Drosophila melanogaster: one gene and its partner. The protein of the gene in region 2 interacts with the protein of the main gene of each other region in a pairwise test. Each region holds a gene or a part of one and is shown on either strand. Other genes may lie near its edges.

Region 1 (3,902 bases), on a different chromosome or scaffold from region 2:
TCCTCCTCGTCGTCGTCCAGGTTGAAGGACAGCGCCTGGATCTGCCGCTTCTGCTTGTTCTTCTCCGCCTGAATGGCCTCCAGGGCGCGCTGCTTCTCCCGATCCTTTTCGTCCTTCTTCTGGGCGAGCTTCTTCTCCCGTTCCCGCACTATATCCTCCTGCTTGGCCTTCATCTCGTCGAGGGTGACCAGACCAATGGTCGAGGACTTGAGCTGCTGCTCCACGGCATCGTAGTGGGTGGCAAACTTGTTCTCAATCTTGTCCAGCTTGAGCTCCTCCTCGATCTTCTTCTTGCGAAACTCGATCTCCTGCTGCTGGATCTCCCGCTTCTTCATCAGCTGGGCTGCACGGCCCGCCTCGCTGGCGGCACCTTTGTAGTGGGCCATCCTTAGTTGTTTCTGTATTTATTTATATTTTTTTTTATTTAATTCGTAAACGAAATTTGTAAACATCCAATTGGTGTGACCGTAGCAGAAACATTGAAAAATGCCATTCTTCGTATAAAAAATTTACAGCACAAAACACTACCTTACCAATTTGAAATAATAAAATATTTAATCTTGAAATTATTTAAAATTTACTAGCTGTCCATTCCCCTGATATAAGAGCAAAAAGAAGAGGATCACTATTTCTCTGCAACGATTTTGAAAAATAAAGATAAATCTTAGATTTTTAGCTGTTTTTTTTAATATCCTTTATATTTAGTTACAGTCGTAAGTTTTTCTTTAACTTGCTTCATGCTTTCGCTCAGTGTACTAAATCTACGTTGATCCATTGGAAGATTCCTCCTGTGCCTCGGATTTGTCCTCCTCCTTGCTGTCACCATCGGCATCTGTTCCATCATCGCCAGGTTGGCTTGGATCTGGATTGCTGGAGCTACTGCCGTTGCTCTCGGCCAAATCGTTCTGGTCGAAACCATTCGTGTATTCCGGCGTTGGAGCCGTGTCATTGGCGCTGGGCGGCGGGGTAATCTTCCGCAGCTGCTGACGGGCGGCATGGACGATCTTTTCCAGCTCGACGCACTCCGTCTCGATCTCGTAGTTCTTGGAGACCAGCAGCACCCAATGGGCTTCCAGGGAGCGCAGTCGCTCGCCGGCCTGCGTTTGCGCCTGCTTGCGCTGCCAGTTGACATCTTGAATGTCCTTCTTCAGCTGCTGCAGCTGGAGCTGCGCCTTCGCCTGCATGGCGGTGAAGACCTCCAGGTAGGACTTCCATGCCTCCGTGCCGTAGTCGAGCATTAGCTCCAGGTTGAGAGAGCGCACCCACTGGTGCTCCAGCTGGGCCATCGAGTTCTCAATGGCCTCCTGCCAGGCGGACACCTCCGACAATTTGCCCGATGGCGGCGGTGGCAGTTCGTAGCGCTTCATGGAGAGCGTCTCCATGGGCAGGCGGTTCTGGATGCGCTCGAACTCGTTGGCCATCAGCGGAGTCTCAAAGGGCGAGCTGGCGGGCAGTGGCAGATGGTCAAGGTAATTTTTTGTGGGCCTATAGCGCCGGCATTCCTCCTCCACCATGGCGAGAGCCTTTGGAAGAAGAAGATGCCATTTCAAAGTCAGTTTCAACGTGCAACATGGATATCCGTATATTTACCGATTCCCGGACGCCCACATCGTCATAGCCGTGATCTATGTAGGGCAGAGCATCCACAATAACTTCGCCAGCCATTATTTATTATTAATTTCTGTGTTTTGAGACTGTTTTTTCCGCAAGTAAACAAATACAATTGCCGCTTCGCACTAGTGTGGCACATTTAGCTACTTTATAGCTATATAAACGGATAACAGAATGCTGTTAATTAATAGCCATATATCTATTTAGTAAATTTTTTTGTTTTAACATGAACATTTAAGCAAAAAATAAGCGTTGTTTTCTCACCAATAAAAGTTGTGTAAGTTAGTTTTTAACGTATGTATGTATTATGTATTGTTTGATTATTTATTATGCGGTTAAATTACAACAATTGTATTCTTGTTCTTTAAAAACGCATTGCTAATTTATAAATTTAACTAAAATACGTTATTGATAAATTCGAATTTAGATTTGTAATATTATAGTTTAATTGCGAGAATATAAACAAAAACTTCTCTTACGAGAGAAAAAAAAAGCTAAAAGTGTTGGACAGCGTCCAATTAGCCCTGTAAGCTTGACACTTGCTGCTGTTAGCAAATGCAACCATGCGCCGTGGAACGCGATTGGCAGCCATTTCCGGCAGCTCTCTTTCTTTCTTCGTTCTTCTTAATAAAAAGAGGACGGTATCTGCGTTTGCAGAATATTTAGCACCTTTCATTGGGTTTGAAAATCAACGAAAATGGTGAGAAACGAAGCACAAGGCACTCCGCAACCGCAGCAGACCCCAAAACATTGGATTTAACACACGAAACGATGCGAAAATAGTGCAAAAGTGTCGCCCTAACCTCCACGTGTTTGGAATGTGCGGCGATGGCGAAATGCGCTTGTTGTGTTTTGTGATGTGAAATGATCAGTGAACTAAACCCGAATACCATGTGCACTTTCAGAGCTTAGGCAACGCCAGGCCATTGGTCTCCGTGTACACGGAAAAGAACGAGCCAGCCAAGGACAAGAACATATGCCTGCCGGCAGTGTTCAAGGCGCCCATTCGTCCGGATGTGGTCAACGAGGTTCACCAGCTGCTCCGCCGCAACAACCGACAGGCCTACGCCGTCAGCGAGCTGGCTGGTGAGTAAACTGTTTATAACTCCTCTTTTGTGTGAATCTAACCCGTTTGAATTCCTGTTTGCAGGTCACCAGACCTCCGCCGAGTCCTGGGGTACCGGACGTGCTGTGGCCCGTATTCCCCGTGTGCGTGGTGGCGGTACCCACCGTTCCGGCCAGGGAGCCTTCGGCAACATGTGCCGTGGTGGACGCATGTTCGCCCCCACCAAGACGTTCCGTCGCTGGCACCGCAAGGTGAATGTCAACCAGCGTCGCTACGCCCTGGTGTCGGCCATCGCCGCCTCAGGAGTGCCAGCTCTGGTCCAGTCCAAGGGACATGTCATCGACGGCGTCTCCGAGTTCCCGCTGGTCGTGTCCGATGAGGTGCAAAAGGTCCAGAAGACCAAGCAGGCTGTCATCTTCCTGCGTCGCCTGAAGATCTGGGCTGACATCCAGAAGGTGGGTAACTTTGTACACCTATGAAGAACTTAATCCGAAGAATGTTAGGTCACTTAACTGTGCGTCTATTCAACTTCAACGTATTTATTTAACAAAACGTGAAGTTGTGATGTTTTAATTGCAAAGTTATAACTTTTTATTGGATTCCTACTTTTCGGATGCTTTCTAAATCTTACTTGGCAGCGTGCAAGCAACTGGCTACTCTTCTGGTTGTCCGATGCTTGCAGGGATCTCCTGCGTTGCCAGATAAAATGCTCTTCTTGGCGTTACGATTGAAACTTGATTCACGGCTTCCATCGTGGTAACGGAAGAGCAACAGCTGTTGTATTCATGTTCTCTATTTCCGAATTCCTGGAATATACATACTCACTATCAACTTGTTTCTCATTCATTTCGCAGGTGTACAAGTCGCAGCGCTTCCGTGCTGGCCGTGGTACCATGCGCGACCGTCGCCGCATCGCTCGCCGTGGTCCCCTGGTGGTCTACGACAAGGACGAGGGTCTGCGCAAGGCCTTCCGCAACATCCCCGGCATTGAGACCATCAACGTGGACAAGCTCAATCTGCTGAAGCTGGCCCCCGGCGGTCATGTCGGTCGCTTTGTCATCTGGACCGAGTCGGCTTTCGCCCGCCTGAACGATCTGTTCGGCACCTGGAAGAAGCCGTCCACCTTGAAGAAGGGCTACAACCTGCCCCAGCCCAAGATGGCCAACACCGATCTGTCGCGTCTGCTCAAGTCTGAGGAGATCCGCAAGGTGTTGCGCGATCCCCG
Region 2 (3,375 bases):
AGACGTCGATGGTCGCTCACAAGTCCCCAGGCAGTGGGGACTCCAGATTCCTTCGCAGCCAGGGGGGCAGGACTTCTTTGGTTTTGTTAATGCTGGTGCTGGTGCTGGACATGCCTGGTATTTTGGAACTTCATTAATTGTGGGTATATTTTTAATATTATCTGAGTGAGTTTTCTCGAGCTTATGGGTCTTTAATTCTTGCTGATATTGCAACAAGTGGTCTAGCTCTGCATGTAGCTTTAGAGCTTTCGACCAAACCGGTGGCGTTTGCTGACCGTATATTAGCCACCTTACGTGGGCTATACGTTTATTCAGCTTAGTTTTCAAACCGCCACGGTGTTTGCCCATACTCAATAGAACTCTACTCACTCAGATTTTTCCTTGGTTTTTGCAGTTCCATTTAATTAGTCCAGTCTTCTTCCAGTCCAGTGTTCCTTTGTTCCTTTGTTTTCACCAGCTTTGGTCAATTCGTCCAGCGTTGGACGACTGTCACGGTCGCCATGTAATGATGAACTGCTTGTCACGATAACTAGTCGTCATAGTTTATGCTAAGCTATGCTATGCTCTCGATTCGTTAACATTTACACTTGTGTAATGATGAACTCCAATTAAGAACACAAGTCCGTTTTAAGTTTAAGGCAGCCGTCGGGCTGACATATATTTATTCAATTTCTTCTTTTGATTTTAGAGTAGGCAGAAATGGTTCTGTCAGCTCAACGTCTACAGAGTCTCTCCGATTTTACAGTTTTTTATATATTTGGACTTAGGCTAATCCGCGTAGCTGCGCTGCCGGGTACGCCAGCAGCGGAGCGGCGTTCTTATGTATATCTTATATATCTAGGCTTATCGGGAGAGCGAGATATGTATGTACGTATGTAATATGTATTTGGTCGGCGTGTGAATGCTGACCATGCACTTATACTTTGTGGCCTTCGAGTGGGTGATCATGTTACATCCGCCCTGGCCTAACTGCGTGCATAAACATAAACATAAACATAGCAACAAAGTGCTGCCATAAGTTAATATGCTATTTTATTTAATTGTTCTTAATATTGCATAGGCACATACTACTATATCAACAATGACGGTGAATTGGCTGACTGAATTGGCTTAGAAGGGGCTGGCCCATTGAGCTGCCAAGAGCCCATCGAGTTCGAGTAGCCGAAAAAGATAGAGCTCCGGGGCCGCCCAAGTGGTAATCCAGATGATTAATCACACTTTCGGCCGGCCATAAAACCAGAGCACGACCGGGGGCTAATAGCTGCAGTCAAGTGGAGCTGTTTCGCCATGAAACCACTGCGAAGTCGGACATTAAACTTGGGCCGTGCAACAGACGGGATGGGAATTCGTCTGGGCCAGAGAAAGAGCTACTGCCACAGCCACAACCGTAGTCATGCAGTGCAGTTTGCACTGTTCGAATAGCTCGAATGCCGCACAATGAATAACGTTGAATAATTAGCCCCCACATGCAACCCCACCCGAGTTGCGTGAGCAGGGACCCACCGCGGAATGGCCAAGACAATGCAATGCCTACTTTATTAGAGATAAATATTCCGAATAGTTGATGGAAGACAGACTTCAGCCGACTTCAACCGAATGGATCTCTTACGCACAAAGCTGAGATACGCTTCACTTCGACGTATTTAATGCGTAGATCGTCCGCTCGAGAGTGAAGGAACCACCACCATATCTGGTGGCTAAAGACTTCCGTATTTTTGGAGGTACTCGAAGTGACGTGCCTGTTTTGAAGCATAGTAGGAGTGATTTTCTAGCGGCTAAGATGGTAAACAAATGATAGGCTAACAACAAACATAACCTACAGATAAGAACTTAACTTGGTGGAACATTTAATTCAACGAAGGAGTGAATTGAACTACCTACATTGTATGGGAAAGCCACCTTGTTTGCACCCTAATGATGGGTAAACAGTACTGATTGCTGATTCTACCATGTTGACTCAACTGCGACCACTTGCATGCTCTTCGGCTATAAATATTTCGCGACCGCTCATCGAATTATAAATGAATTCAGTAAGATGAAAGCTTTTCTTGTGATTTGTGCTCTGACTCTCACAGCAGTCGCTACCCAGGCCCGAACGATGGATAGGTGTTCCCTAGCCAGGGAGATGTCCAAACTGGGCGTTCCCCGGGACCAGCTGGCCAAGTGGACCTGCATCGCCCAGCACGAGAGTTCCTTCCGCACCGGCGTCGTTGGACCGGCCAACTCCAACGGATCCAATGACTACGGCATCTTTCAGATCAACAACAAGTACTGGTGCAAGCCGGCCGACGGACGCTTCTCCTACAACGAGTGCGGCTTGAGCTGCAATGCCCTCCTAACCGACGACATCACCAATTCCGTGAAGTGCGCCCGGAAGATCCAGCGCCAGCAGGGATGGACTGCTTGGTCCACATGGAAGTACTGCAGCGGATCCCTGCCCTCGATCAACAGTTGCTTCTAGTCTCGCCCCCTCCCCCCCCTTCACACACTCATACTAAATGAAAGTTGTTGCCAAAGGAAGATGAGAAGAAGAGTTGTTTGAAGTACAAAAATGTATCTTCGAGATAAGTATCTGTGAGCTGAAGACATCTTAATCGGATAAAGTCGAACAATAGCCAGTTAGTGTTATAAATCATATAACTCCTCGTTGACTTTTTCGATATTCATGCACTTTAAGACTCATATTTCTCGAGTGTAATTGGTTCGTGATCTTTCAGCAATTGCAAAACTGTCTCCGATGGAAATGGAAATAGGAGAGCCTTTTTGGCTCAACAAGCGGCGAAAAGTGAAATTTTATATAATGGCCCACACATAACAGAGTCATTATGACAGTTGGCCTGGCCAAAGCGACTGAGATCTATTAGACATTACGGCCGCAAAGCGGAGCGTCAGTCTTGGCCAGTTGATGGCAAATGGCTGGCTGGTAAACAAGTTAATTTAATTTCCAGGCATAAAACAAATTACGTATGAAAAGTCGCCGTTATCGCGGCGTTTATTTATCATGCCCGTTGCGATGAAAACGCATAGTGTCTCTGGTGGCGAGTGCCAACGGACTTTGGCTCGGATCGAAACAATTTCGATTCAATTGCATCTATGGCAGAGCGGGGACGTGGACACGATGTAGGTCTATGGGATTGCCATTTGCGTCTAATCGCCGGAGATCAACTTTGCCATTTGGGGCTCGTTTAGGCCTGGCCAGATGGCAAAAAAAAATGGCAAAAGATGGCAAAAGGCAATGACAAGTTGGAGCCAGAGCCCAGAGCCTAATGTATTAATTTGTAGCGCTATTCTCAAGGGTGTCGGTTGAACGACATTCCTCGGATTGGACACAACACATTGGATACCCAGCTTTCGGCCGTTCGGCCTTCTCCGCCA

The links.
Region 1: the proteins of LysP (region 2) and BCAS2 interact in a two-hybrid assay, tested with the Drosophila melanogaster proteins (one large-scale study listed by BioGRID).

What each region holds. Positions count from the first base shown.
Region 1 is NT_033777.3:27,920,609-27,924,510, forward strand, and holds BCAS2 (BCAS2), read right to left. Parts: upstream 1,749-3,902; 5' UTR 1,666-1,748; coding exon 1,591-1,665; intron 1,524-1,590; coding exon 762-1,523; 3' UTR 675-761; downstream 1-674. Other genes in the region: CG12259 (uncharacterized protein), read right to left, coding at 1-386; RpL4 (ribosomal protein L4), read left to right, coding at 2,309-2,311, 2,517-2,697, 2,762-3,132, 3,532-3,902.
Region 2 is NT_037436.4:1,217,343-1,220,717, reverse strand, and holds LysP (lysozyme P), read left to right. Parts: upstream 1-2,021; 5' UTR 2,022-2,035; coding exon 2,036-2,461; 3' UTR 2,462-2,636; downstream 2,637-3,375. UniProt on the Drosophila melanogaster protein: Unlikely to play an active role in the humoral immune defense. May have a function in the digestion of bacteria in the food.